Xenopus tropicalis: one gene and its partners. The protein of the gene in region 1 binds, or shares a complex with, the protein of each later gene. Links are inferred from orthologs where the notes say so. Each region holds a gene or a part of one and is shown in the gene's direction. Other genes may lie near its edges.

Region 1 (5,384 bases):
GTTTACTCCATGTGTAATTCACTTCCCGTAAAGTCTTGTATGTTCTCGCACTTCCCCCTGATTTTCACCTCTGTTGCTGTTTACCCCTCCTGCTTCTGAACTGTCTGCCAATATTTCTGTCAATATACACATTCCTAAACCAAAAAAACCTAGGTGATATAATAGTGGCCAGCCAGCTTTCTATAGAAACACTCATATAGGGTTTTTTTACTACAGATATAGGACCTATTATCCAGAATGCTCAGGACCAAGGGTATTCCAGATAATTTGGATCTCCATACGTTAAGTCTATTAAAAAATCAATAAAACATTAATTAAACCCAATAGGATTGTTTTGCATCCAATAAGGATTATTTATATCTTAGTTGGGATCAGTTACAAGGTACTGTTTTATTACTACAGAGATAACGGAAATCAGTTTTAAAATTCTGAATTATTTTATTAAAATGGAGTCTATGGGGAAACAGGCTTTCCGTAATTTGGAGCTTTCTGGACAACGGGTTTCCGGATAAGCGATCCCATACCTGTACCAGCTTGATTAGCCAATGTGGGCAGATCTTAATGAAGTCTTGGGGAGGCTAACCAGTCAGAAAGAGTTTCAAGCAGAGTATGTAAGTAGTTTGTCATGGGGTTGGTGCTCTATATTTACACTGCATTATAATACATATACAGTATGTGGTTTCTAAAAATATGTGGGGTTTTTGGGAGTCTTTATACAATTGGGGACATACTACCAGACCTGTACTGGGATTCAAAATAGGCCCTAGCAATTCTAGGACACAGAGGCCCAAACAGCCGCCACCAGCCTTCTACATAGTGACTGTCTTACAGCAGCCCCTCTGGCATTTGCCAGAATCCACAGATTGCCAGTACGGGCCTGGTCTGCACATTCTACGGTTGTTTTTTTTATTGCTTATGTGCTGCTCTTAGGATCAGAGGGTGTTAGCAGGAGTACATGAGCTTCTTCTGAATCCAGTGCATTCATTCACAGTCAACACTAACATGGAGGTTAATAGAAACTTCTGTAACTACCCAGAAAACAGCACCATATCCCATTAGCAATTTAGCTTGGTTGCTCCTTGAAATCTATTTGACGTGTATCCTAAGGCCTTAGTGTCATTTAGTCAGACATCCCAAGTCTCACAAAAGGATTGAACAGTGTATTGAGTATTTAATAAAATTAAAAATATATCTGTGAAAATATTTTCTTCTCTAAATGTCCTCTAGTGCTTGCGCAAATGGGGTTTTAGAAGATCAGAAGACATTTGTTGGATTAAAACAAACAAGGACAATCCTGGAAAAACAAAGACTTTAGACCCAAAGGCAATCTTCCAGAGGACAAAGGTATAGTGTTGTTTTACAGACACGTACTTTTTGTGTCACTGAAAATTTTGTGACCATGACCACATTTGTAGCCTCACTCATTACAAACTCAAGGCCCACATCTCCTGCAACTGGCTACATTGCAAGGTGAGGCAGAGGCTTAGGCATAATATGTTGGGTGCATGGGGTGGCAAAAAATGCAGAGCCCCCCAGAAAGCCAGTGTGACCTAGATCATTTCTAAACATGTTAATTAATATACATTAATATGACTGTCTTTGGTAAGCAACCTTAACCTGCTTCCTTAAAAATATACAAATGTTTATATAGTCACATTTAGATATTTATAAATAGTAAAGAGTCAATACATACCTAGTTATAGAATGGAGACCAGGCAATCCTGAATAGCACTTTTAGTTTCTTGGCTACATGAGATTTGATTTAACTATGACACATTTACCTGTAGGAATAATTCCATTTTGAGCAGCTTACATTGTCTATCCCAGATATTGATGCATATGTATGCACAATCTGTAAGAAATATAAAGCTTCTTAACACCAGTCTTGGATTGCGGAATTATTTTTCTAGCTTTTCAGCTGCTGCTTGGCAGTGCACATGCATATTGTTAGTCCCACAGAAGACAAGTTTCTGAACTTTTTTTTTTTCTACATTTGTGATGAAGTTTTCCAATAACTGGAAAGGAAAAGGGAATAGTTATTTATGTCATATGTTTAGACACCAGAAATGTTCATGTTTTCAATAGAAATTGCTACTTTTATTCATTGAGGCAGCATTAAGTTGAAATTATAGCCATTAGACTGACAATGCCATAACATCCTTTTAATTTCAGATTATTGTTCTATTTATCAAAGTCTGCATTCTCTGACTTTCTGATGAAGCTCTTCCCACACGAGCTCAGTTGATTGTGCAAGTTTAAAGACAGTAATCCACTTTCCTGTTTTTTCCCCGAATAGCTTTTGCATAAGTCAGTAGTATGTTTCACACTGCTGTCTTGCTGCATTATTAAATTTGCACCATTTACGCGCTAACCACAGAGATGGCGCAATGTTGTAAAAATCATAAACTTTTCTGGATGATTCTAGACTTTAGAACATTAGTGTACAGTGGCATAAGTACTGTGGGCCACGTGCAGGATTTGCTCCCAGGTTCTCCCTCCTCCCCAGCCCTTTCACCCACCATATACCTTTATGGCGGCTCCAGCAGGCCCTGATGCAATTGTACCCGCTGCACCCCTGGCAGTTACACCACTGTAAATATTTATTCTACAGAGGCTTCACAAGCAAATACCTACTTGTCTGGCCCTTGATAAGAGGTAATAGTCATCTTAATTTTTCATCTAACTATAATAGTAAAAGTCTTATATGCACCTTCTTCATTCTCTCCCATGTATTACTGGTTAAATATATGCATATATTAAATCCTATAATTGAAGCACTCTTCAAAAATGATATCTGCCTGAGGAAATAGTAAAAACAAATGAATAAGATTCTGCGCTCAGTACATAATAATCACTTTCAGATCTCCCCACAGAAATCTTGTTTGTAAAATGAAACAAAAGTAAGAACAACTGCCTGTTTTACTGTTAAATATACATTTTCCTTAGCACAAGTACAAGCATTATAATCACACAAGAGCTTTTAATTATTCTGTTTGTGGACGTCTATTTGCAGGAGCACTGCCTTATGGGTATCAAGGGAACAGTTCATCGCAGCACAGATGGAGATTTCATCCATGCAAATGTTGACATTGATCTCATCATCACAGAGGAGCCTGAAATTGGAAACATTGAAAAGCCAGTGGAGATTTTTCACATTATTGAGCATTTCTGCCTTGGAAGGAGACGGTTACACCTCTTTGGAAGGGATAGCACTATAAGGCCAGGTAAGGCTTCATCTAGAATGAGATTACATTCCTATTGCTGAATACATTAAATATATTGCGAATGCAATATTTGTGCTCTAACAATATAAAATGGCTGGCTCAGGGATAACCATATTGGCCCTTTATCTAATTCCAATGGGGGTTGCATTATAGCACATGTATCCACATCCGACAGGGAGGTGAGTGGACGTATAATCACGTGTGACAGGCAGCCTGGGATGGCAAATGTAAAAGCAGCTGTTTGTATGGCTGATGTAGATGGCAGAGAACACTGCTGCTGAATCTTTGCAGTGAATGAAACTGTTTGGTAATTGGACTGGTGGGAAATCGCTCAAGGCTATACTGTCCCACGGTGCTGTATAGAGAAGGTGAACCCTCAGTCTAATCTGAGTGTATCCAGGCAGCATTGTCTGCTTAATCACCAGTGTCCTTCAACTCTTAAGCACCCATAAATGGATAGGGTTGAGAAAATCATTTACCCACTGCGCATGCCACATATATTCACGCTGGTGTTCTTTCTTAGCCAGTTCTGTGCTTGTAAATTATGAACTTATGCCTTGCATTGAATAGTTTATATTAGTAAGCCAGCACTGTTACCTTAATACATTTATGGAACCAGTTCCCATGAATTGTTCTAATGCATTGCAATGGCAGTGGATTTATATTGGATAATTGTTTTGGATAATTTATACAAACTGCGCTTGTATTCAGACATTGAGTTTCGGCACAATGAACATTTTTGTTAGATCATATTTTAGATTTCTACCCTACTTTAATAGAAACATGGAATACGTGGAATACGTTATTGAAGTCACTTTTTCATATGGGAGCACCATATTTTGGTACATCCTTTGAGCCCAGTTTTTTGTGTTCTCTTGCTTTTTATTATTTATTATATTTTGGCTTTACACTGGTTCACACAGCCTTTGTAACTCACATTCTCTGTTATTGCAGTGTGCTTCTGTATTCTATATTTACTACACCAGATATCCTCGGAGGATGGAATCACAAGTCTGATATGCTTAGTGCTGCTGAGTTGCATGTCACAAAGTAGCTAATATACACAGTGTCACTTTTCTTGCAACTTATTTATTGTGACAAAAATACATTCACATTACATTCTGTGAATTTACAATCTGTTTCTTAAATATATTCCATATCTGGTATGTCATGGGAATGCAATGTGTGTTTATTGCCATGTGTTCCCCCCTACAAATGTTGCAATTTCTTACATCATATTTGTACTCATGTTAAATTATTTCTGCCTGTTCCCTGAATCTACCCTTTCATGGAGGCTCTGCTTTACAGTGTGTCAGAACAGAATGCCTAGGCTCTAGGGACTCCTATAAAATAAATGGAGATGATATACTTGGAGCAAACAATTTCATGTCATTGCCCAAAATCACTTCTGCTGGGAATAGGCTATACGCTATACAGTTCTTTGGGAAAACAGCTGGTGCCGTACTGAGTTTTATTTCTGTGCAAAATCCAGAAGTATTTATATGCCCTTGGTTGTGTATGTGTATAAATGTAATTGCTGCCACTGTAAAACTGTACACTCCTGATGGAAAAGTGTTTTGGTTTGGGATAATGAAAGAAGTCACTTCTCAGAGGCCTGGGCTGGGTTATGGAAGTCATTTGTGGCATGCAATCTGCTTGAGCTCTATAAAACTGTGCCCAGCTGTTGGTTAAGGTAGGTTCCACATCAGTCTGTCACCCTCCAGCTGCTCTTTAACTTCAAATCATTAGGACTGCTACCCTGGTGTATATGTAAACTTTTTTTTATGGTTAAATTATGTTACCTGGATGCTTTTGAGTCTGAGGCATCCATCTCAGCCAATGAGATTTGTTGCTGTTGGCCTGCAAAGTCTTAACTATTCAATCACCTTTGGTGTTCCTCATCTCTAATTTGTGTTTTGTTTATAGGTTGGCTCACTGTTGGACCTACTCTTACCAACAGCAACTTTAATTCAGAGACTTACGCTTCATACTTCAACACTCCAAACTCGCCTCTTACTGGATGCACAGAGGAGATTGAAAGACTGCGTCCCAAAACACCGCCACCTAAGTCAGACCGTGGATTTGGGGCATCGAGAGGAGGAGGCCGAGGCGGACCATCTGCAGGCCGGGGAGAGAGGGGCAGGGAAAGGAACAGAGGCA
Region 2 (5,909 bases), on another chromosome or scaffold:
TCTCTACGTGTGTTTTAGCAGAGGCAATTCTCAGTACTGTCTATGGCAGGGTATTTTCTGGGGTTTCGTAACCATGAAAAAGTAGCTGCTACTAGTAGTTCTGTGCGTCTTCACCCTTATAGTCACTGTAACATAAGGTTAGCAGATCACTTAAAAATTAGGGACACATCTAAAAAATCTAGCTAGAAGGTCTGCAATGATCACAATTTAATTTAAATGCAATCAGTTCAGCCCTGCAACATGCATTTATTAAAAGTGTCCCTGAATTTTTAAGTGATCTGTTGTCATTACTGTAAGCACAGGTTGCATTTACACAATGAATGTACTTCTACCTAGTGAATTAAATGTTAATGTGGTCATTAACATTACATGCCAGATGTATTAATTATTTAATTAATTTATATATAGTGCCATGTCCACATAACTTGTTCTAAATGAAATCCCCCACCTGGGTCCATTGTTGGACCCAGAAAAAATGTGGTTGGAACAAAGACTAAAGGCCCCCATACACGGGCCGATAGAAGCTGCCGATATCGGTCCCTTGGACCGATTCGGCAGCTAATCGGCCCGTGTATGGGAAGAAACGAGCGGCCTGACAGACCGATATCTGGCCTGAAATTGGATCTTATAGTGTATGGGGACCTTTACTCAGGGCTTGCAAACCTTATAAATACTTTATTATACTATTGCATACAACATGTTTTTGGGATTGGCCCCTGTGTGTGTTCAAAGGCTATTTGGCTCCACCTCCAAAAACCTCATCAAAGTGCAATCCATGTCAAAATGTATTTTTCAACAATTCTTGCATTATGTGATGCATCCATTGCCCACATTTGCATATTAAATAAGGGCTCCATTAAATTCTGTGTCACCTTACATAGCTGTAGGACCAACAATAAAGGCCATAATAAATAATAAAGTTCATAAAATATTAGAAAAATCCATTAAAACAATTATCTGTTAAAAGAATATTTTAAACAGGATACTGCCCTCAACAGGTCTATGCAGGGGACCCAAACATGTTTATTAAACATTTAACCCATTCAATTAGCTCCTACATCACTTAATTTATATCAATACCTGAAAACAAAAAAATGCTTGAACACATCCAGTAGAAGCTCCATATTCATCACTCATCTAAAAAGAAAAGAAGGATATGTCATCATAATATTCTAAAGTTCCATATTTCACATACAAGTATGGGACCCGTTATCCAGAAGGCTTGGGACCTGGGGTTTTCCAGATAAGCAGTCTTTCCGCAGAGAAAAAGGAAGCCATTTTTGGCATTCCCTTAATTCTGAACTTTCTGGATAATGGGTTTCTGAATAAGGGGTCCGATACCTGTACTTGATAGTTTTTGTTATCTATTTTGCCTCGCTTTGTAATATTGTGTTCAGTGCCTCACCTAATGAGTCACTTATTGGTGGGCATAAATTAAAAAAAATCTGGGAAATAACCTTTTTACGAGGTTCATGGTTTAAATAGGTTATTGGGATCTGGAGCTATATTCTCCTACATTCTGAACACATTGCCACTGTTCACATTTAATAAAGGGATCAATGCCCAAAACATTTTGTGTACAATCACATAAAAGTATCTGCAAGGCTTGAATTCTAGAATAAAGTACGCTGGAAAATTTGTTTTGAAAATTGCACTTTGCACATAACACGGTATTAATAAATGTACCTTATAGAACATTGTGTTAAAATGTTAAAGAGGTTACCAAAGGTCTACAATCTATATATCCCTGTATAGTAACAATACTGCATTAGGATTGTTTGACAATAACAGCAAAGGAAATACCAGTAAGATATGTTTGAGTGAAACACAAACATGAAATAGTGTATTAATAATCTGTAGGGGTGGTACTACAAAGGGAAACAGACTAGAGATTCAAAGGGCCTAGAATGGTCCTTACAAAAAAACAATTTTAATTACCCAATTTAGCATATGTTTAATAGTTCTAAAATGAATTTGTTGTGGGGACCAGTAACAACTAATTACACCACTAATAATGTGTAAAAAAAAAATCTACTTTTAACTGAAACGACGTTCTCGGCTTAAAATCACTTGAACAATTATGCACCTCCTATCCAGCAGCCTAGTAACCTGCAAAAGTATATAGAATCGATTCTACTGGGTTGTTTAAAACGCTTTGCATCTGATATGCCAATGTTGTCTCTTTCCAACGTTCCTCTTTACATTTCACTGAAATTTTACAAAAGTAAAATTGATATGAAACAAATGAAACCTTAGAAACCATTGTAGCACAAAAGATTTCACGCGTGAAAGGATGGATCGAAGCTTTAATAAACCTGCAACGTAGCCATTAGCCAACCCATAACGCCCCGTGGGAAACGCAGAGAAATAGCGGAAGTGACGTGCCCAAAGACCACCCCATCCTATGCGATCTTGTAAGAATGACTGCAGAGCTATCCAATAGAATTTTAAGAAAGCCAGAAAGTACCCAATCGCTATTCAGGGCGGTCAATTAGGCGAAACCGCTGCAAAATGGCGGAGTGTAGTTGTGTGTGAAGACACTATCATCCCGTAACTCGCCATGAAGGGAAAAGAGCGCTCCCCGGCCAAGGCCAAACGGTCCCGGGGGGCGGAGGAATCAACTCGCGAGAGAAGCGGAAAAAAACTGAGCTCCGGTGGAGGCAGTAACGGATCATCGGGAAAGACATCTGAAAGCAGCACAGGCCGCCGGAGCCTGCATGTGGAAAAGGCTATTTCCTCGAGCCGCGACTATGATCAATCGAGCAGAGCCCAGGGCTTGCATCGCTACGGCTCCCCCGGGGCAAGCAGTGGCAGTAGCAGCAGTAAAGGTGGCGCTGAGAGCCGAGGCGGCGGCGGCCGGGCTACAGAGAGCCGTGCAGAGCCAGAATACTACAAATCCTTGCGGATAAGCGAGCTGGGCTCCTCGCTAAGTGACGAGGCAATAGAGGATGGACTTTTCCATGAATTCAAAAAATTCGGAGACGTAAGTGTGAAAATCTCTCGCGAGGGGGACGAGCGTGTGGCCTTAGTGAATTTCAGGCGCGCCCTGGATGCCCGAGCCGCTAAGCACGCCCGCGGGAGGCTTGTCCTTTACGACAGACCCCTCAAGATTGAGGCTGTTTATTTGAATGTCGGCGGTACTAACCGGAGGCGCAGCCGCAGCCCTGGGGAGAAAGACTCGTATGGCGGACTCGCCGCCGCTGTTTCCACACTAGCCACACACAGGCACCCTCACGGCCAGCGCGCACTCTCCCCCGGCGGCCTGGGCTACAGAGACTATAGGCTGCAGCAGCTGGCTCTGGGGCGCCTCCCACCGGCTCCGGCAGCTCTACCCAGGGAGCTGGACAGGGAACGGGAATACAGCCTTTATGATAGCCGGCTAAGGTCTACCTACACAGTAGATCCCCGACTGAACTTTAGAGACGAAGACCTTGCTTTAGAGATTGATGCCAGAGCTAATCGTACACTCTTTGTTGGAAATCTGGATGTCGTTGTCAAGGAGAGTGAAATTTATAGGGTCTTTGGACGTTTTGGAACTATTACAGAAGTAGATATAAAACGAGCTGGTCGTGGGCAGCAAACGACCTATGGTTTCATAAAGTTTGAAAACCTTGACATGGCTCACAGGGCAAAGGTTGCAATGTCCGGCAAGATGCTTCGTAGTCATGCTTTAAAGATCGGCTATGGGAAAGTAGTACCAACAAACCGCCTTTGGGTGGGGGGTCTGGGACCTTGGGTACCAGTAACTGCATTGGCCCGGGAATTTGATAGATTTGGCACCATCCGTCAAATTGATTACCGCAAGGGGGAAAACTGGGCGTATATACAATATGAAAGTCTGGATGCTGCCCAAGCTGCCTGTACCCAGATGAGAGGCTTCCCTATGGGGGGTGACCATAGAAGACTTCGTGTGGATTTTGCAGAAGCAGATGTTCGTTTTCCACATCCTTATGTTCAGCCATTACCCATCCCTTATATTGATTTTGGAGAGGAGACACCAGGACATCGGACTAGTGAAGCCAGCAGAGCCAGAGATCGTTCACCACCTTTAATATTCAGGGACAGGGAAAGAGATGCTTATACAAACAATGATTGGGTGTCACCTCCTGCCAGAGACAGACACAGAGTCACTAGTGAATCTCTTGAAACAATAGAACGACGTGCAGATAATTGGGCTTTAGACAGAGACCGTGAAAGAGATGAAGTGAACAGAGATCAGCCCAGGAAAAGGAGACTGGATGATAGCCGTCACCTAGACAGATCACCAGAGAGTGACCGCTCTAGAAAGAGACACTGTGTCACTCCTGAACGTAGCCCTGAAGGCAGTGGAGGTCGAGACAACCGTTACAATGACTCTGATCGAGTAGCATGCCGCTCCTCACCTTCTAGAGATTGGAAGGGAAGCCTGGAGCGGGGTCAAGAAGACAAACATGATAGAAAAAACTCAGTTGAAAGAGAAAGAAGGCATCGTGTACCTGCAAATAAAAGCCCTTTAAAAAAGGATGAGCATCCAGAGGGCAACAGCAAAGTGAAACCTCCACAAAAATCAGAAGCAGCACACAAGCTGTGTCTGGCTTGGCAAGGTATGCTGCTGCTTAAGAACAGCAATTTTCCATCCAATATGCACCTTTTGCAAGGAGATCTTGGAGTTGCATCCAGCTTGCTGGTTGAGGGACCTTCAGGAGGAAAGGTGGCACAGCTAAAAATTACACAGCGCCTACGACTTGACCAGCCAAAGTTGGATGAAGTTACTCGACGCATCAGAGTGGCAGGGCCTAATGGCTATGCCATCCTACTTGCCATTCCTGGTACTTCCGAGGGTTCATCAGTGGACCAAGCCAGTTCAACACAACGACCCCTAAGAAACCTGGTGTCCTACTTAAAACAAAAACAAGCCGCAGGTGTTATCAGCCTGCCCGTTGGGAGCAATAAAGACAAAGATCATGCAGGAGTTCTTCATGCTTTTCCTCCCTGTAATTTTTCCCAGCAGTTTCTTGATGCTGAAGCAAAAGCCCTTGTGAAGTCTGATGATGACTACCTTATAATGATTATAGTTCGTGGGGCATCCTAGGTCCATGTTTGTATTTCTGTCTACTATTCACAAGGTATTATGGGATACAGTATAACTTTTAGTTTTTTTTTTTTTTGTAATCGCAAGTTCAGTCTTTGTATTGCAGTTTTTGATCTGCTTAGCAAAAGCATTTATGTAATTAAACAGGACCGGACCATATTCAAGTGTTGACGTTTCCTGCCTATTTCCCATTTTCTTTAAATTATATTCTCTTAGCATAGGTAATCACAATCTTCTGATTTTGGCAACTTCTTGAATTTTTTTAAGTGTGAGATTTCTGCTAATTTTTGAATACATTACTTCTTAAATTTGGTTCCCAAACTGTCACTGGACTGTAACACCAAAAATGTTCTCATGTGATGCTGTCCAGCAACAATTGGGAATACAAAGTTAAAAAAGACTTCCATGTATTAATTTGACCCGTTACCACATGCTCGAGTATCCACTTTTCTGCTAGTTTTCTGCAGCATGCAGTAGAGTTCAGTGTAAATACTGTATGTATGTGTATGTGTGTGTGTATATATATATATATATATATATATATATATATATATATATATAATATATATACACACACACAAACATATATATGTTTATCCTACACATCTAAAGAGAGGATTTGAATGATATTAAGAAGGAATTTTATTTTTAAACTTACTCTGTTTAGTTTATTTCCTCCATCAAGAAATGGGTCATATAGCATGTTTGTAGAACAGTGCCATATAAGTGTCAGATATAAGAGTGCCCCATACCACAGAGAGCTCCTTAGCCAGTATGTAGGTTTCATGCATAGAGTAAGCTATGCAAGGAAGCTCTAAATTTGCCACGTGTCACATAA
Region 3 (5,038 bases), on another chromosome or scaffold:
TTCATTTAAAGGCAGATCAAGTAATTGCAGTGCATTATACCTGCCACAAGTTTGATCGAAATGAACCCTTGTCAAATCACATTCATTATAATGGTATTACCAGAAGTAGTGAAAGCAAGCAGTTATTGGTGGAAACCAAACAGATACCTGTAGGTGTGGTTGCTAGCTGAATTATACTGAAGCAGTTATGCCAACAGGTAGTTGTGGTAGAAAATAAATGATCCTTATGTGTGCCTGGTGTATCTGGCCACTAATGTAAATTATTTTAGAATAACGCATTATTTCCATGCTCTGCAAGTAACTTGGTTAACTACAGTCAGGAGTCCTGCCTTTGGGTTGTTAATATAACCTATATAACACATGTGTAGTTACTTACCACTGCAGTGGTTCCACAAAATATCAGTCATTTCTTCATGTTTTGATGGGTAACTCTTTCCCTTACAGCCAAACAGGCAAAAAGCTAATGGCAAAGTGTCGAATGCTTATCCAAGAGAACCAAGAGCTGGGGAGGCAGCTGTCCCAAGGACGCATTGCCCAACTCGAGGCTGAGTTGGCTTTGCAGAAGAAATATAGCGAGGAACTTAAAAGCAGCCAAGATGGTAAGGCCATTGTTTTGAAATAGTTAACAACTTCCTGTGTGATGATCATGGTTGTCAATTTGTATAGAGATTGGACAGTACAGTAACAGTTAAGAGTTAAATTGAATCCTTGGAGATGAAGTGCCAGACAGAGAAAGGTGTAGTTCCCTGCCCCCACAACACTAAGGAGTGGACTTAGCAAAATTTGAGTTTGCGAGAAAAAAAAAAACCACAAGTAAAAGAACAACCACAATAAAACTTGCGTGACTGTTCTTGTCGGATGCTAGATTATTTAAGGAAAAATGTGACAAATGCTGGTAAGAATCAAAATTTCAGTGAGGCTAAAAAGGCAATGATGCCGAAAAGAAAAAAAAAATAAAGACAACCCTCTGCTTAGTGAATTTTTTTCTGCCGAATTTTTCTTTCTTTAAAAATTTGGTTTTATTTTTTTTTTCCTGCGTTTCCTTCAATTGTGAACAAAATGCCAACTTGAATTTTCATAAAACGACCACTGAGCATTCAGTTATTTAAGTACCAAATGGGTCATATGACATGCACAAAATTTTATGAAGCTTTTTTACATCTTAAATTATGCTTTTTTATGTATATTGTTTTTTCTAATAAAAGAATATCAATGTATTGGCCAATATTTTACCACAACTGAAAGGTTTATCCACTAGCCTTAATGCAAGGACTGTACAGGCAAAAAAGTTGTGTGGTCCTGCCCATTAATGCAATTTTTAGAAGCAAAGCTACATTGGCAGCCTCTGTAGCTTTCTGACCCTAGGTACAGGTGAAGGTAGTTTTCCCCGTAATGTATGTATTAACATAGTGGAGAGAATTCCAGTGACAGGCCACAACTCAGTTTGCTAGTGCTGCAAAAGATGCCAGTGAAAATAAGGGATGTGTCTTAATCACTTACTGTAGGAATGTCCCCTGTAATGTTCTCTGTGACTCATCACTGTTGACTGCAGCTTTACAATGGCTCTTGTACATCACCTCTTGTGGTTAAATAAGGGCTAAGACACACAGAGTTACTTAGAAGTTTCTCGTCACGGCTACAAAACACCAAGAAAATGAGAATTGTCTGTGCTAAAACACAGACAATTATCAGTAAATTATCAACTTTGTCTATTTTTGAAACCACTACAAGTAGCTCCCCATGTCTTAGCCCTAACGTGGCAGAGTAAGAGACCTAAAGTATTGAAAAAAAAATAAAAAACAAGATGATATAAAATTCCAAAAAGAGACACTTATAACAATATATTTTTTTTTTACAGCTGAAAAGTTTATAAATATATTTCCTGTGTATGTTTTATGCATATTTTTTGCATATGGGTACCTGCATTAAGTTTGTTACACTATGGCTTACTGCCTTGAGATATTTGTGTTTCAAATGTCATACTAGTCTGTTCTGACTCCTTACGGTTTAGAAGAACTGGCATAACCCTACAAGGGCCAGTAAGATTCAGATGTTTCCAGGAGTTATGAAGACATCTATATGTAATAAATATGCATAAAACATTGAGATTTTTTTTTCTATTATAATACTCTTAAATATAAACATGATGTAATTTCTCCACATTACTCACATGCTTCTGTATTATAATAAATACTGTAAAATATAAGAATAGTATAAGTTTTGGCGTTTAATGACCTTCATCCTTGTGTCTTTATATGGCTGTGGAACTCCTTGGTGACTTATAATATCTATATATTTTACAATAGGTGGGTACACTATGTGATGTATAACCAGTCAAGTGTTATATGTCTATAAAAAGACACAAGGCTAAAGGCTAAGTTCTTTAAATAGAAGGCACCTCAGAGTTCCATGCCCTAATATGCTCATATTTTACAAAATGAGGTACATTTATTATAATACACAAGTTTTCATGAGTCTTGTGCAGATAATTACATAACTAAGCACCAGTTATAACTGAAGACATTACCAAGCTCTGTTTATAAGGATTTATTTACATGATATTCATGGCTCTTATGTATTTTAAAAAAAAAGCACACGGATGGCACATGATAAATTCCCCTTCATTGCTGGTGCAGTATTATTATTATTAACATTTACTTATAAAGCACCAACATATTCCGCAGCGCTGTACAATAAGTAAGCATCATTCTTTTTTTTTTTTGGTAATTATAAATGTGTTTGCAATTTATTGATCCTTTTTTTGTTGAATACAGAACTGAATGACTTCATTATTCAGCTTGATGAGGAGGTGGAAGGAATGCAGAGCACAATCTTAGTTCTGCAGCAACAGCTGAAAGACTCCCGTCAGCAGTTATCCCAGTTCCAGCAACAGATCCAAACATCTGGTAACAGGACTCCTTCGTCGGAATCCAAGGATGAGGGCGAGGCTTCTGGAAAGGATTGTGGCCGTATACTAAATGGACCAAGCAATGGTGGCTCTTCCCATCAGAGAACACACAGCTCAGTTGGTCTTTATAGGGAGGGCAGTAGCACAGAAGAGGATTTTTCAGCCTCCCCTATCAATGAGGGAAAGCTCCCAAACCACTCAGAAGAGAGAACTAGTAGAGGTGGGAGCAGCTATATGAATCAGCTTAGTACTGGGTATGAAAGTGTAGATTCCCCAACTGGCAGTGAGAACTCTCTAACTCACCAGTCCAATGACACAGACTCTAATCATGACTCCCAGGAGGAGAAGCCAGTGAGTGGAAAAGGCAATAGAACTGTAAGCTCCCGTCACCTTCAAAACGGTTTGGACTCCAGTGTAAATGTACAGGGTTCTGTTTTGTGAAAACAAAAAAAAGTAACATTTTGAACTTGTTTTTTTTTTATACGTCATTTAATTTCAGAGAACATTTTTTTTGCCCAGAAATCCAACATTTTTTTTGTCGCATATTTGCCTTCCTTAGGATTTCTTCCGGCATTGTTGCTTGATGTAATACCTCTGCCAATTTGGACATTTTAACAGTTAATTATGTTGTTGCTAAAATTGCCATTTGTGTTCACCAGTTACGTTTCTAGAGGTCAAGGAACAATGTTAAACTCCAAACATTAACAATGACTGTACAAATGTTATAACCTAAAACCTTTGCTGTGTAAGGGCACAAATCCCCCATTCCATTATTATACTTAGACCTAAATAACAATTTGGTATTGTGAGGGTTTGACTGCCAAAGTTTACCCAGTAATGTAGTTTTTATCAACAAATTTGGACACCTAGATATATCCTGTGGTAGTTTGTGTTAATCATTGTTTTCTTTTTCCTCTTCAAATGACATTTGTACATATCTTATTTTTCTTCTATAGATGGCTGAATGTTTGAGACTTGTGCATAGTTACTCAGTTTGAAGAACTGTTGTACCTTGTTTATGCATATGCCTCTGTGACTCCAATAATACCTTGCCTGTACTGACCAAACCAAAATAAAGATTTTTAATAATGTCGTCACACAAACTTTTGTCTGTCATACACATAAATTCCTTGAATAAAGTTTAATGAAGGTTTTCATTTATCCAGTTAATGATGGTACACATTATCTAGTTTTGTATGTTTAAATGAGTGGTGAAGTGGTTTCAAGATTACTCAGCAAGTCCAGTTGCTTACCACTACTAGATATGGTATTCAAAAAAAAAAAAAAAATATATATAGTTATATAGTTATATATATAGTTGAGGTCAAATTATTTTCTTTTTAACAAGTTCTGATACTGCATGGGCAGTACAATGGGGTGAATCCTAGATGTATATAGGGTCATAAGTGATCCAGTTTTCCCATATATCTGTAACCTTGTTACGATGTAAGAGGATCCCTGGCCAAGGATTGGACTACCAAGTAGGGCCTGAAATCTGGAAGAGCTCTACTTTCCATATTTATGCAGCACTGGCATTTTCTGCAGTGTCTTTAAAGAGAATACATCATTCACTGACCAGTGGAGCTTTAATTTAGCGGTCCTATTGCTTTCACGTATACTGCATGGGCAATTTTATCAGGAACCAATTAACGTGCCTGTGTTTTTGGAGTGGAAAGAATTTATGGTACCTTGAAGAAATCCACAGGAGAAAATACAGGCTCCTTGGTGATAGTGCCCTGGTTGAAATTGATTGCAGCACTCTAGCAGTGCTATCTGTTATACCACCGTATTGCTCCTATTAAAGGCAGCTATACCCTGGCCACACAGTTATGCACAACCAATCATCCCATGGACTTAAAAAGATGAAGAGCATAAGAGGGGCTATGGACATCTTTTGTCTTGATCGTTCCATAAACAGCCACCATTTTATTTCTGAGTTGAGACAGGGCTTCAGGGTGCCAGTGTAGGGACTGATTCTCGGCCTGTGTTTTTTCAGCAGGCCAAGAATTTGCCTGTGGTGTGGCACCAGCCTAAGTGGTGGCCATACATTTAAGCTGCTGATTCGAGTCCTGTAGACTGATTTGGTAGCTTTTCTGCCCATGCATTAGACGACACAACCTCGCCAGACGA
Region 4 (5,901 bases), on another chromosome or scaffold:
AAGTGCACTCTACTCTCTTGTAGCCCTCTCAATCATGCTACGTCATAGCAAAATGCAAGGTTGTAGCAACAAACAACTTTTAACTTGGAAATTTGCGAAGTAAAGCTGGCCATACACGCACCGATAATAATGTACGAAACCTCTTTTCGTATGATATTCGGTGCGTTATGGCAAGTTGGCGAGTCGACCGATATCACAGGAGGCTGCCGATATCGGTCGACTTGCCGATTGGGCGGGTTAAAAGATTTTGATCGGGTGCCATAGAAGACGCCTGAGCAAAATCTGCCTTCAGGGCTGAATCGGCAGAAATCCTATTGTTTCTACCTCCTTATCTGCTGTTTCAGCCCTGAATGTTAGTGGCCGATTGAACGATCTTTCGTGCGATGGTCGCACGAAAGATCGCAATTCGCCATGTGTGTGGCCACCTTAACTCAGGTATTCAGGTACATAGGAAACACACACTTACCTCTAGTCTTTTTTATATTTGCCACTGTCTTCTTGATTTGACCTTCACCTACTCTCTCTAAATGTTCCTGTTATCTTCTAATGACTCTTTCTTGGTCTCTTCTTTGCTTTTCCTTTCTGTCCTATTCTCCTTCTGAATCCTTCATTTTCTGGTATATATGATTTGGCCTTATACCCCTTCAACTTAAGTTATTCCCTTTTTAACAATACCCCATTCTCTCCTACTAGACCCCAATTCTCAGTTCTCTCCTGTCTTGGGTGCAAGTGCAGAGCATGTTTTTCAATAACGCACAGAAACACTCCCTTTGGCCTCTTTTTGCTCAATTCTTTCTTTGGTAATGCAATGTGCACATGGGGATTGTTTCATCCTGCAAAAAAAGCAAACATAAAATGTGTATACAAAACTGCACTATGACTCAGACCCTGCAGGAACACTGAGAATCTGTATGCGGAGTGCGTTTCTGCCTATAACAAGACACCTTTCTCCATGGGTCCTTAGTCTTAAATGTGCATAGCTGCAGTGCTCCCACAAAAGTAATCAGTGGTTCCAAAGGTATAGAGGTACTGAAAGTTAGAGAAGAGATACAGTAAATGCTAAAGTGGACAGAAAAACAAATATATTTATGGAGCACTCAAATAAGGAGCAAGCTGAAGTCAAAGCAAGTAAGTTGTGTGGATCTAGGATGTAGTTTGAGCAGGAGGAGGCTCTGGATAAGAAATAGGATGAAGAGGCTTGGATGTGGAAAACTGATTAAGACTGCATACCCAGGACTACAACATGTTATTATCAGATTGCTAATGTCTGGATATGGCCGCTGGAGCACATGCTTGTGTATACACTAGAAGGCGGTGAGTTTGCAAGTGAGTGGCTGTAGCCAAGCAATATCTAACATACATCAAACTTGAAGGAACTGTTTTCCTGCAGCACATTCATGGCACTATGCATTTATCAAATGTTTTTTCACACTTGGATCTTTGCACTTGCCATCCATTTTAAGTCCCTTTGCCCAAGTAACCCCTACATAATGTTACATCTGTGAACACAATTGCATTTTTTGTTGTATATTCTCCCTGTGCTTTTGTGGGTTTCCTCCGGGTACTCCAAATTCCTCCAACACTCCAAAAACAGACAAGGTGGTTTAACTGGCTTCTGATAAACCTGATGACAGCTCTAGATATATGTATCTTTAAACTGTTAATAGTGTTTTGGCTTAAGAAAGTGCAACCCAATGGTTAACTGAATACAGAATGTGCATATACAGGGTCAAAACTCTGGGTCTTCAACAAGAGCAGCTGAGCCAAGCCTGGTACAAACAGGGAAACCATTAAAACCGAAAATGAATGTAAAGTGCATAATAAATCATAGGACTAATCTTTTTTTTAGCTTTATAACAGCCTAAGTTCTCCTAAGTCAAACACGCCCATCTTAGTTACTTCCCACAGCGCACAGCTACGTCACTTTGTTAGCGACCGCATGGAACCTTACTTTGAGACACACGGTCGCTTCTTATGACGTCTCGTTTCCATAGCCCGCAGTTGATTGGCCGTGTCTACTCTGACTGGATGAGCGCTCTCCATTGAGTTTGCGGGCTTCCCGGCAGGCGTAGCGGCGGTCCTGCTGTATCTCCGGCCTGCGCTCGCCTGAGCCGAGCCCGCCTGCTGTTTTGTTGCCGTCGCTGCGTCACGATCGCTCCGGGAAACCGGGATCAGCTGCGGCAGCTGAAGTGGTTGCCGCCGCAGTGGTGGAAGAAGAAGAAAAAGAGGAGAAGGAAGAAAAAGAGGGGTCAGGAGGAGCCGCTACGGCTGTTACGCGGAAAGGCAGAGAGGGGCGGCGAACCCAGCCGTGCTCGGGCGCTCAGTCACTCCGCGGCACTGGGAGACGCCGCTGAGCTCCCAGTAGCTGCCGCCAAACCCACAGCGGTCACGGCCCGGGATTCCTCAGCCAGCGGCGTTCGCCGCCGCTTCAGACGGCAACAAGGTGAGAGCAGCGCCCAATACTGTTCTACTGTTGTTACCCCTGTATCTGTCTGAGAGCGTATTAACTACAGGGGCACCCAGGATACTGGGGGGGGGGGGGGGGTTGTGCATCTTTGCCTTGGTGCAAGTTAGTGACACTTAGTTACCCCTGTATCTGTCTGAGAGCGTATTAACTACAGGGGCACCCAGGATAGGGGGGGGGGGGTTGTGCATCTTAGCCTTGGTGCAAGTTAGTGACACTTAGTTACCCCTGTATCTGTCTGAGAGCGTATTAACTACAGGGGCACCCAGGATACTGGGGGGGGGGGTTGTGCATCTTAGCCTTGGTGCAAGTTAGTGACACTTAGTTACCCCTGTATCTGTCTGAGAGCGTATTAACTACAGGGGCACCCAGGATACTGGGGGGGGGGGGGGGGGGGGGTTGTGCATCTTAGCCTTGGTGCAAGTTAGTGACACTTAGTTACCCCTGTATCTGTCTGAGAGCGTATTAACTACAGGGGCACCCAGGATACTGGGGGGGGGGTTGTGCATCTTAGCCTTGGTGCAAGTTAGTGACACTTAGTTACCCCTGTATCTGTCTGAGAGCGTATTAACTACAGGGGCACCCAGGATACTGGGGGGGGGGGGGGGGGGGGGGGTTGTGCATCTTAGCCTTGGTGCAAGTTAGTGACACTTAGTTACCCCTGTATCTGTCTGAGAGCGTATTAACTACAGGGGCACCCAGGATAGGGGGGGGGGGGGGTTGTGCATCTTAGCCTTGGTGCAAGTTAGTGACACTTAGTTACCCCTGTATCTGTCTGAGAGCGTATTAACTACAGGGGCACCCAGGATACTGGGGGGGGGGGGGGGGGGGGGGGTTGTGCATCTTAGCCTTGGTGCAAGTTAGTGACACTTAGTTACCCCTGTATCTGTCTGAGAGCGTATTAACTACAGGGGCACCCAGGATACTGGGGGGGGGGGGGTTGTGCATCTTAGCCTTGGTGCAAGTTAGTGACACTTAGTTACCCCTGTATCTGTCTGAGAGCGTATTAACTACAGGGGCACCCAGGATACTGGGGGGGGGGGGTTGTGCATCTTTGCCTTGGTGCAAGTTAGTGACACTTAGTTACCCCTGTATCTGTCTGAGAGCGTATTAACTACAGGGGCACCCAGGATAGGGGGGGGGGGGGGGTTGTGCATCTTAGCCTTGGTGCAAGTTAGTGACACTTAGTTACCCCTGTATCTGTCTGAGAGCGTATTAACTACAGGGGCACCCAGGATACTGGGGGGGGGGGGGGGGGTTGTGCATCTTAGCCTTGGTGCAAGTTAGTGACACTTAGTTACCCCTGTATCTGTCTGAGAGCGTATTAACTACAGGGGCACCCAGGATAGGGGGGGGGGGGGGTTGTGCATCTTAGCCTTGGTGCAAGTTAGTGACACTTAGTTACCCCTGTATCTGTCTGAGAGCGTATTAACTACAGGGGCACCCAGGATAGGGGGGGGGGGGGGTTGTGCATCTTAGCCTTGGTGCAAGTTAGTGACACTTAGTTACCCCTGTATCTGTCTGAGAGCGTATTAACTACAGGGGCACCCAGGATACTGGGGGGGGGGGTTGTGCATCTTAGCCTTGGTGCAAGTTAGTGACACTTAGTTACCCCTGTATCTGTCTGAGAGCGTATTAACTACAGGGGCACCCAGGATACTGGGGGGGGGGGGGGGTTGTGCATCTTAGCCTTGGTGCAAGTTAGTGACACTTAGTTACCCCTGTATCTGTCTGAGAGCGTATTAACTACAGGGGCACCCAGGATAGGGGGGGGGGGGGTTGTGCATCTTAGCCTTGGTGCAAGTTAGTGACACTTAGTTACCCCTGTATCTGTCTGAGAGCGTATTAACTACAGGGGCACCCAGGATACTGGGGGGGGGGGGGGGGTTGTGCATCTTAGCCTTGGTGCAAGTTAGTGACACTTAGTTACCCCTGTATCTGTCTGAGAGCGTATTAACTACAGGGGCACCCAGGATAGGGGGGGGGGGGGGGTTGTGCATCTTAGCCTTGGTGCAAGTTAGTGACACTTAGTTACCCCTGTATCTGTCTGAGAGCGTATTAACTACAGGGGCACCCAGGATAGGGGGGGGGGGGGGGTTGTGCATCTTAGCCTTGGTGCAAGTTAGTGACACTTAGTTACCCCTGTATCTGTCTGAGAGCGTATTAACTACAGGGGCACCCAGGATACTGGGGGGGGGGGTTGTGCATCTTAGCCTTGGTGCAAGTTAGTGACACTTAGTTACCCCTGTATCTGTCTGAGAGCGTATTAACTACAGGGGCACCCAGGATACTGGGGGGGGGGGGGGGGGGGGGTTGTGCATCTTAGCCTTGGTGCAAGTTAGTGACACTTAGTTACCCCTGTATCTGTCTGAGAGCGTATTAACTACAGGGGCACCCAGGATAGGGGGGGGGGGGGTTGTGCATCTTAGCCTTGGTGCAAGTTAGTGACACTTAGTTACCCCTGTATCTGTCTGAGAGCGTATTAACTACAGGGGCACCCAGGATACTGGGGGGGGGGGGGGGGGGGGTTGTGCATCTTAGCCTTGGTGCAAGTTAGTGACACTTAGTTACCCCTGTATCTGTCTGAGAGCGTATTAACTACAGGGGCACCCAGGATAGGGGGGGGGGGGGTTGTGCATCTTAGCCTTGGTGCAAGTTAGTGACACTTAGTTACCCCTGTATCTGTCTGAGAGCGTATTAACTACAGGGGCACCCAGGATACTGGGGGGGGGGGTTGTGCATCTTTGCCTTGGTGCAAGTTAGTGACACTTAGTTACCCCTGTATCTGTCTGAGAGCGTATTAACTACAGGGGCACCCAGGATAGGGGGGGGGGGGGGGGTTGTGCATCTTAGCCTTGGTGCAAGTTAGTGACACTTAGTTACCCCTGTATCTGTCTGAGAGCGTATTAACTACAGGGGCACCCAGGATACTGGGGGGGGGGGGGGGGTTGTGCATCTTAGCCTTGGTGCAAGTTAGTGACACTTAGTTACCCCTGTATCTGTCTGAGAGCGTATTAACTACAGGGGCACCCAGGATAGGGGGGGGGGGGGGTTGTGCATCTTAGCCTTGGTGCAAGTTAGTGACACTTAGTTACCCCTGTATCTGTCTGAGAGCGTATTAACTACAGGGGCACCCAGGATAGGGGGGGGGGGGGGTTGTGCATCTTAGCCTTGGTGCAAGTTAGTGACACTTAGTTACCCCTGTATCTGTCTGAGAGCGTATTAACTACAGGGGCACCCAGGATACTGGGGGGGGGGGGTTGTGCATCTTAGCCTTGGTGCAAGTTAGTGACACTTAGTTACCCCTGTATCTGTCTGAGAGCGTATTAACTACAGGGGCACCCAGGATACTGGGGGGGGGGGGGGGGGGTTGTGCATCTTAGCCTTGGTGCAAGTTAGTGACACTTAGTTACCCCTGTATCTGTCTGAGAGCGTAT

Evidence for each region.
Region 2: mettl14 (region 1) and rbm15 share a complex: the UniProt entries of both Homo sapiens proteins name them as parts of the WMM complex. The link is inferred for Xenopus tropicalis from reciprocal best matches to the Homo sapiens genes METTL14 and RBM15.
Region 3: mettl14 (region 1) and wtap share a complex: the UniProt entries of both Homo sapiens proteins name them as parts of the WMM complex. The link is inferred for Xenopus tropicalis from reciprocal best matches to the Homo sapiens genes METTL14 and WTAP.
Region 4: mettl14 (region 1) and zc3h13 share a complex: the UniProt entries of both Homo sapiens proteins name them as parts of the WMM complex. The link is inferred for Xenopus tropicalis from reciprocal best matches to the Homo sapiens genes METTL14 and ZC3H13.

Annotation. Positions count from the first base shown.
Region 1 is NC_030677.2:70,544,039-70,549,422, forward strand, and holds part of mettl14 (N6-adenosine-methyltransferase non-catalytic subunit), read left to right. Parts: intron 1-1,227; coding exon 1,228-1,344; intron 1,345-3,013; coding exon 3,014-3,224; intron 3,225-5,150; coding exon 5,151-5,384. UniProt on the Homo sapiens protein: The METTL3-METTL14 heterodimer forms a N6-methyltransferase complex that methylates adenosine residues at the N(6) position of some mRNAs and regulates the circadian clock, differentiation of embryonic stem cells and cortical neurogenesis.
Region 2 is NC_030678.2:72,274,119-72,280,027, forward strand, and holds the start of rbm15 (RNA-binding protein 15), read left to right. Parts: upstream 1-2,468; 5' UTR 2,469-2,560; coding exon 2,561-5,071; 3' UTR 5,072-5,105; intron 5,106-5,909. UniProt on the Homo sapiens protein: RNA-binding protein that acts as a key regulator of N6-methyladenosine (m6A) methylation of RNAs, thereby regulating different processes, such as hematopoietic cell homeostasis, alternative splicing of mRNAs and X chromosome inactivation mediated by Xist RNA.
Region 3 is NC_030681.2:44,086,632-44,091,669, reverse strand, and holds the end of wtap (pre-mRNA-splicing regulator WTAP), read left to right. Parts: intron 1-444; coding exon 445-599; intron 600-2,774; coding exon 2,775-3,349; 3' UTR 3,350-4,011; downstream 4,012-5,038. UniProt on the Homo sapiens protein: Associated component of the WMM complex, a complex that mediates N6-methyladenosine (m6A) methylation of RNAs, a modification that plays a role in the efficiency of mRNA splicing and RNA processing.
Region 4 is NC_030678.2:134,320,799-134,326,699, reverse strand, and holds the start of zc3h13 (zinc finger CCCH domain-containing protein 13), read left to right. Parts: upstream 1-1,899; 5' UTR 1,900-2,443; intron 2,444-5,901. UniProt on the Homo sapiens protein: Associated component of the WMM complex, a complex that mediates N6-methyladenosine (m6A) methylation of RNAs, a modification that plays a role in the efficiency of mRNA splicing and RNA processing.